2 linked regions of the Rattus norvegicus genome follow. The protein of the gene in region 2 interacts with the protein of the main gene of each other region in a biochemical or structural test. Links are inferred from orthologs where the notes say so. Each region holds a gene or a part of one and is shown on either strand. Other genes may lie near its edges. The genes, in order: Kctd12 and Gabbr2.

Region 1 (4,577 bases), on a different chromosome or scaffold from region 2:
AATGGTAAAACAAGCACACACATAAAAAGGCTTCTCCGTAATCACAGATCATCCAAAAGATGCCTGTCAGCAGGAAGCGTACGGATTCACCTCCTTCCGGCTGTGGTGTGCACAGGATCCACGCTGGGAATTCATTCCACGTGGGACTAAAGGCGTAAGGCAACCGGGTCTCCTGCTTCTGCTGCGTTCACCTAAAACACCGCGTTATTGCTCAGCCCACACTGAAGTATTTGTTTGCCTTCATTTAAAGAACATCCCACTTCACAGCTCTCTACAGATGGGCAGCTCCCAGGGCGCTTCCGTTTGTCTTCAGCTCTGACAGGAGCAGATTCCACTGCAACGTCAAGCAAACGCATGAAAGGGCGAGCGAGCCTTGTTCCGGTTTTCAGAACTGCCTAGGAGTCCACACTTGCTGGGCTTGCAGAAAACAGCAATTTAAAAATACTACTACTACTAATAATAATAATAGTAAGAGATCTTAAGTCTAAGTAACTAAAATCGAACTTATTTTTGCTTAAGTAAATAGGCTAAAAATGAGGAAATACAACCAACAAGAAAATAAATGTTCAAAGCACTAAAATTCTACTAGGTAACTCTTTGGTTAGGTTAGACGGGTATTAGCAACTAAGTTTAGGACTCAAAATGGCTCGATAGACTTCCAGCTGAAGATAGGTCTTTTACTAACCTTGATAAAATCTAAGTTTACACGTACTGTTTCATATTTTTTTAAATGTGCACGTACTCAAGTGGATCATACAAACGTCCAACTCTCAAATAATAAATGAGTATGTCCCCTCCTCCCTCCCGCCCTTCCTCCCCTCTTTCCTCCCTCCCCAACCCTCCCACAGTCCTAGACCTAAGTAAGGGCTGTCTGACCCTACTAACCATTCCTGTATTAATTGGTCACCGCGGGCCTAGGCAACCTTGCCCCCTGCTCCTTGCTCCTAGCCTAGAAGTACTGACTTAACCAACAAAACCTAGAGCTCAGGCAAGTAGCTGAAGAGAAAGGGCGCCTCCGCAGGCAGGAGGATTGCTTTCTACAATTTTAAGCCACAGGAGATCTATTGCCAGTACTAGAATTTACTTCTACCTGTAACTTTAAAAAACAAAAAAAGCACTTTATTTACAGTCTTTGAACTGCCTCCATGGGGTCTTAATTCCAACTTACGGTTTTCCTTTCGGTTGTCTAAAACTTTTATCTTTCTAATGAGGATCAAGTCCGTAACAACGTTTTAAAACACTGTCTCCACACAGCGCTCTCAGTTCTGATCTCTGAAAACCGCTATGGAGTCAAAGGGTTTAAGATTTCAAGGACTTGTCCTCACTGCACGCCAGACACCGTGCAGTCGGGGTCTGAGCAACTCAGTCATTCCCAGATACTTGGCGACTGCTCCCGCACTGCCCCACTAGATCACGACAATCTGGGGGGAAGGGTGTTTGGAGGCCCGGAGTAGAGGAAGCGTGAGTGAAGGGCTACATCTGGGCACTCTCTCGGTTAGTGGGGTCCAAAGAAGACGAAGAAGCCCAGAGGATTTGTGGCTGCAGATTCTCAAGTGGGGAGCAGACGGGTCTGGGCGAGCTACTGGGGGCCTGGGGGCGGGGCAGAAGGAATGGGGAGACAGGGAAGGAGCGAGGGTATCTATAATCCTATCCCCCGCGGGGAGGAAGGGAAGTGGGCTCCGGAGTGGCGAGGGGCGTGGGGAGCTCACTCCCTGCAGAAGACGTACTCGGTGTAGCTGGTCCAGATCTTGTCCTCGCTCTGGTCGGTGCTACTAGCAAAGGCGCAGGTGCCGGTGGAGCTGCACGCCACCATGTGGAAGCCTGACTCCGACAGCTTATCGAACGCCTGCTCTAGGAAGTTGAACTTGAGGTAATAGCGCGAGGTGTAGCGCTCCGGGGGCCGGTCGGGGTCCCGGCTCTCATTCAGGGTGTCCCCAAACACCTCCTTGGCCAGCGACGTCTTGCCGCACACGGTGATGCGCGCCACCCTCCGGAACTTGGCGTCCGCCTGAGCGTCGCGCCCGATGGTGTAGGAGCCGCGGTAGCCGATGGTGATGTAGCCCGAGCGCCGGCTGCCGTCCAAAGACTGGGACGGCGTGAGCAGGGGGCCCGCCGCGCCCCCGGACGGGCTACGGCTAGCCAGATCCAGCGTGGGCGACGGCGCCCCGGCCGAGGCGCCCTCCTGCGGCTCCGGCTCCGCGTAGCCCAGCGGCAGCAGCTCGTCGCCCAGTGAGCCCTCCTTGTGCACCCCGCGGCGCGAGTGCGGCGGCGGTGGCCCCGGACCGGGCTGCTGGGGCGCCCCGAGGCGTCGCACGAGCTCCGGCAGCTCGAAGTACTCGGCCTCGCGCTGCAGCCGGCTGCGCTCCGGGAAGTAGTCGGGCAGCACGAGCTGCAAGTCCCGCAGGTAATCCAGGATGTAGCGGAAGAGGAAGCCATCCCGGTCCAGAAAGAAGCGGCCTTTGCTGTCCCGGGCCAGCTCCTGCGGCTGCTGCTGCGTGAACATACGCCAGAGCAGCGAGTCGGGCACGGACACCACGGTACAGCGCCGGGTCACATACACCTGCCCTCCCACGTTCAGCTCCACGATGTCCGGGAAGAGCGGCGGCTCCGCTGAGGACGACGACGAGCCGCTGCCACCTCCGCCTCCGCCCCCGTTGGGTAATCCTCGGGTGCTGTCCGCCAGAGCCATGGCCAAAAAGAGGTGGCCGGGCTGTGCCAAGTGGCAGGGAGCGGGGTCGCGATCAGAAGCCGCAGCGGCTCTTAGCCCGGGAGCCCTGCGCTCAGGCGGCGGCTGGCCACGGAGAGCCGCGCGGAGCGAGCGCGCAGCAGTGCGCCCACGAGAGCCCCGGTGCGCTGCGCCCGCCTCGCCCGCGCGCTCCAGGCGAGTGGCGGGTCGCGGCCCGCGCGCCGCTTAAGTAGAGCCGCCCGCTCGGGCGCCGCGGCGCGCAGGAGGCGTGGGCGGCTGCGGAGCCGCTGAGCTCGCTCCCGGGGCGGGGAGGGCTGGGGCGGGGTGGGGGTGGGGGAGGAGCGGGGAATGCATTTGCATGCTAAACGCTGACGCGGCTCCGGGCAGCAGGCTCCACCCTGACCCGCGCGCTCCGAGGGGCGACCCGGCTGTCACCGCCCGCCCCAACCCAGCTCCTCTTCTTCCTCCGCAGTGGGTCAGAGCCTCGGCGCTTCCCCAGGAGGCTGTTCTCTAAAGCGAACATCTTGTGTCCCCACCTCCCCTCCTGCCGCCCTTCTCGGCTGACCGCAGCCCGCACCCGGGGACTCCAGAAGGGGTTGGAAACTTTCTGGCAGAGTCGAAAAGCTTGGTTGCCTGCGGCTAGCGCCCTCTAGACCTACAGGCTTCTAACAGTGCAGAGCGCTGCTGTAGAACATCCATCCCTGGGGCTCTGGAAGTTCTGAAGGGACGCGGGGGTCCCTCCAAACCCAGAGCACCCAAAGGTTTTTCACGTGACTACCGTATAGCCTCGAAAAATCCCTAGCAACCACAAGAGGATGCTTCGCGAAAATGCTCTGTTAGATTATTTTACGAGTGCATAAAGTCTCTGGTTAGGAAACTTCAACATAGTACAGAAATGACTAGGAGAGGAAGTTGGGTGGGCACAAAAGGTGGGGGGCTGGTACTACGTCGCCATGAAAACTACTAAGTGCCTCCAAGAGCGGACTGCGAGGCATCCAGTTCCTTTCTGTGAATTTCACCAGAAAATTCCAATCTAATATTTTCTTTTACTGATTTTATTAGTATCTAATTATTTTACTAAAATTCTACTAATATTTTATTTGTTCCTTGAAATTTTAATGCACATATACAAAAAAAAAATGACTTTCAGCCCCGAAGAGCTATTTTAAAAGTCCAGCAGCCCGTGTTCTCCTCCCTCCGTCTTTCTCTTCTGTGCTTGGCCAGACCGCCCACCAGAGAAGAGGATGTGTTTGAAGGCCCTTTAGGTCCAGCCCTGCTCTCTATGGTCTCCTACTAGCTCAGCGTTTGCAGTCACGCACAAATTGCAGTCCACAGAACTCTGCCTCCGCCGGGAAGCCTTCTGTGTTTCTCGCAGAGGGAGAGGCAGGTTGCTCTTCAAATTTCCATCTCTGCACGTGGCACGTGGGAGTGTTATCTGATCGCTGATTTTGGCAAATAAATAAGTAAAGGGTTCAAGGAGCCCTGGATAGAGGAGGCTCCAGGAAACCACGAGGTTAATAAATGCTCCTATGCATTGCGGGGCATCAGGCTGTGGAGAATTCAAGGCTGAATAGCAACATCTCCTTTCGAGCAGCCAAGAGGCAAAGGGTTGACCATCTGAACAGTTATCAGATCACTTTGAAGGACAGGCTGTCAATCACAATAAGCCCAGAAAGATCTTTGTCTTAATAACGATGTCTACCCTTTGTGTGACTGTCCAATGAGCTTGATCGTCTTCTCACGGACGAGTGTCACTTTCATTTCTGCAAATGTTTATGTCTGCCAAGCAATTACTGCGACTCATGCCACAGAGCTGAAGTAAAATCAGGCCCCAGACCAGCCTGCTTAATTGCAGGCACAGATTTTTGATACTGAATATGTTTCACCATTT
Region 2 (3,809 bases):
CAAGTTGCTGCCTAATAAGTTTCTACATGAATGAAAAAAGCCCTCCTATTTTTATTTGTGCTACATAGAGGCAGTGCTGGGAGCCGAGGATCTGTCCAATGGGACGTCGATTGAGGCTCAGTTCTAGGGCAAGCAAAGCCACACTGGGGCTCTCAGCAGTGGGTGATTACACTGCTAGAAGGAAGTGGAAGGCTTAGACCAGTGCTGTGCTGTCACTTGGTATAGAGTCTGATGAACTAGCAATGGGCTCGGAGCGGCAAAAGCTGATGCTTTCATTGCCACAGAAGCTGGTGCAGGATGCACCCATCTTAAAGCATTTCCGGTGCGTGGAATGAGTGTGCTGGCTCCCTGTATGGCAGGGGTCTGTGAACCCCACAGAGGTTGCTGGACCTAGCAAATAAAAACAGAGAAGTCCAGTGCAGTTCAAGAGCCCTCTTTGCAGTTTAGGTACAGCCTGCACTTGGTAAGTCGTGTACCAAAGGGATCTCTAACAGGCCCAAGCCTTGCAAATCTGGTGTTGTTGGGCCCTGACCTCTCTCCTCCCACCCCCTGTTAAGCCGTTAGATTACATTTCTAAAGGTCTGGTGCCTGATTTGGGCACTTCCTTTACCTGTCTAAAACACTAAGGTCCAACTATCAAAACACCAAAGTCCAGCAATCAAAATTCACTACTTGGCTATTCTGACTAAAATGTCCAATCAGAATCCACCAACTCATCCTAGAACAGACTCGCCCTTTTCTCCTTAAAAACTAGTCCTGCAGAGTCACCTGCTGCTGTCTTTGCCAGATCCAGAGGCAGCCCCTAGCTTGTCCCTCTGGGGGAGTAATCTTTGTGCTGACTCCAAGGCCCCTTCATATACTTACTGAAAACAGGATTGGCAGTTTATTTGAAATTCAGAATTAGCTGGTCGTTCCATATGCAATCTAGCAACCAGCTTCTGCCCTGCAAGTGTCTGGCAAGAGGTTACATTTCCCAGGCTCCTCTGTGCTCTGTGGCTAAACGAGCTCATGAAATTTTTGGCAGCACAGGGAGACAGAACAAAACCGTAAGCAAATTGTGTGTGTGTGTGAGTGTGTTTGTGAGAGAGAAATGTGTATGAACGTGTGTGTGTTTGTGTGTATGTGTGAGAGTGTGCGTGTATGTGAGAATACGTGTCTGTATGTGTGTGTGTGTGTGTATGAGCATGCATGTGTATGTGTGAGAGCGTGTGTGAGAATACGTGTGTATGTGTGTGTATGAGTGTATATATGTGTGTGTGCATATATGTGAGAGAGTATGTGTGTGAATATGCGTGTGTATTTGTGTGAGCATGCTTGTGTGTATGTGTGTGAGTGTGTGAGTGTGTGTGTGTGTCACTTGCTTACGGGGTAATCCCTTATGTGGGCTTTCTGTGTCTCTTCTTCCTGAGACTGAGGCCATGTCTTTGTCCTACTGAGCCTGGGGAATGGGCAGGAAGCAGAAGAGAAGCCACAGCCCACAAATGACCCTGCCCAGCTGTGACCCCAGTCCTCAAGTCCACTAAGTAAGAGAGAAGCAATATACTTTCTTTTTTCAGACAGAGCCTTGCTATGCAGCCCAGGCTGGCCTCCAGCTCATGGCCCTCCCTTTCTAGCCTCCTTTTTGGGGCTACTTGCTTTTGAAACCTTTGTTACTGTTGCTTGGCCAGTACCCTAACTTGACTCAGCCCAGGTATAGGTCCAGTCAGAACCCTAGGAATTGAGAATGAGAGGGAATTGGGGTTGGAATGGGGGGACAGGTTAGCCACAGCACAGCCATCTCTGGGGAAGCCTATCTTTGCACCCTTTTACCATGGGAGTTATAGGGTCCTCCTAGCACTAAGTTTGGATCAGATGTGCTTAGCTCCCTGCTGCCATGGCCTGGGGTGCTCTAGAGAACTATGGAGCAGGGATGGGTTGGAGACCAGGAAGGGACCTGGGCAGGAGAATGGGTAGCCTCCAGATGTGGGCGCACCTCTGTGATCTTCATTCGAAGGCGGTGGTTTTCTGACTGCAGTCCCTCCAGGCGTGACGTGCTCGCCTGGTTCACGCTGGTGACTGAAGTGGAGGTCTTCGAATCTTCTTTCTTCTGGTTCTGTGTGAACTGGAACCGCCTGTTCTGAGTGGCTGCGTCAGGGTTTGTCCTCAGAGTGATGAGCTGAAGGGACAGAGGTGGCTTGCGGTGAGACTCCTGCAGTGCTCCTCTCTCTCCCCAACCAAGTCCGAACTGACAGGCCACCCCCTCCCCCAGAGAGGCCCACGCTGAGCTCTGGCACAGGCTTGGGCATGACCGTGGGCAGGTAGCTTCCCAGTCACTGAGCCTCAAAGTCCTTCTGGGATACGAGAGTCAGCCTTCTGACTGGCTCATTCATACCCTACCAGAGGGGCAGAGGCAGTCCAAGACCTTGGGCAAGATCCCATTGTGGAGAGTTTCTACAACAAGAAAATGGAAGACGGTGAAGACGACTCCAGGGTGAGTTAGAGACTAGCTGTTGACCTGTTTGTCCTGGCAAAGGCACGTAGCAGCTCAAAACCCCTCACATCTGTTATAATACAGGTTCTGTGGGGAAGGGGTCTGGACATGATCGAGCAATTGAAGCTGATTTTTACTTCCTTTTTAATGATGCATGTGTATGTGCATATATGTGGGGTGCTTATGTGTGTACATGCAATGCAGGCAGGGGTGAAGGCCGGCAGTTAGATCTTCTGGGGCTGCAGTTGGGTGCTGGGAACTGAGCCTAGACCCTCTGTGAGAGCAGTTTGGGCTGTCAACTATTGTAGTACCTTCCCAGCCCCACTGGGGGAAAAAAACTTGAGACAAAAAAGTTGCCCCATGACTCTAACCTTATCCACACATTCTAGAATCTTCTCTAGCCCATGGTGGGCTCTGGGCTTAGCCCTGGAGACCAGGAGTAGAGTTTCCATAACCTCTATAAGGACTCCTTAGCCTTGGGTGTAGGTGTGAAGAAGAACTTCATTGTCATCGGCCAGAGGGATTCAGGCAGGAGTGGCTACCAGGACCTGCTGTGCTGTGGGTGAGGGGTTGGAATGGGGTGGGGAGTTGGGGTCGGGTTGAAGGGACAGTGGAGAAGAGAAACCCAGCACAGGCAGAGGAACTTAGGGGAGGGGTATTATTATCATCACCCTTATTACTATCGTTATTATTTTATCATTGTGTGGTCACATAGCAAGGTATGCACATGAGGGTCAGAGAACAGCTTGTGGGGCTGACTCTTTCTTTCCACGTCTCTGTGGTTTCAGGGCTCCAGTTCAGGTTGTCAGCTCTTTGTGGCAAGGGCTTTAGCCTCTGACTCATCTTGCTAGCTTTACTTTTCTTTTTTCTAATATATTCAATTTTTAAAGATTTATATATCGGTCAGGCTGCACAGGGCCCTGAGAGGTTAAAGTCTCTTTATTCATGGCTGCAAAGAATAATGCTTGCAAAATATCTCTTCAAGCCGGTTCTCTAGATTGGTGTGACAGCTGTATCCTACAGGGGACGCGTGGCTGCTGAGAGCAGTGAATGCTGCCCAGCACACAACCATAAGCTCACTTGAAACTACGCCTTGTCTTGTGTGTGAGTCTTAAAAACCCAGTTGAGTTAACAGTTGGTTCTGGAGCATGAACTTTGCAGAGGCCAACACTGTGTCACAACATCAAAAGGGTGGATGCGTTTGCACTGGAAGATGTGGGTGGATACTAAGAGGGGTTGTTCCTTTTGACCCGGTAACGCCATTTCTAAGGCTGTCTACAGCAGATAATTGGAAACAAAAGAATGTGCTATGCAGAGGAAGAATGGTTTTTAAAAAACT

Evidence for each region.
Region 1: the proteins of Gabbr2 (region 2) and Kctd12 form a complex in vitro, tested with the Homo sapiens proteins (2 studies listed by BioGRID). The link is inferred for Rattus norvegicus from reciprocal best matches to the Homo sapiens genes GABBR2 and KCTD12.

The regions. Positions count from the first base shown.
Region 1 is NC_086033.1:86,217,839-86,222,415, forward strand, and holds the start of Kctd12 (BTB/POZ domain-containing protein KCTD12), read right to left. Parts: upstream 2,888-4,577; 5' UTR 2,690-2,887; coding exon 1,706-2,689; 3' UTR 1-1,705. UniProt on the Homo sapiens protein: Auxiliary subunit of GABA-B receptors that determine the pharmacology and kinetics of the receptor response. Increases agonist potency and markedly alter the G-protein signaling of the receptors by accelerating onset and promoting desensitization.
Region 2 is NC_086023.1:65,755,130-65,758,938, forward strand, and holds part of Gabbr2 (gamma-aminobutyric acid type B receptor subunit 2 precursor), read right to left. Parts: intron 2,156-3,809; coding exon 1,973-2,155; intron 1-1,972. UniProt on the Homo sapiens protein: Component of a heterodimeric G-protein coupled receptor for GABA, formed by GABBR1 and GABBR2. Within the heterodimeric GABA receptor, only GABBR1 seems to bind agonists, while GABBR2 mediates coupling to G proteins.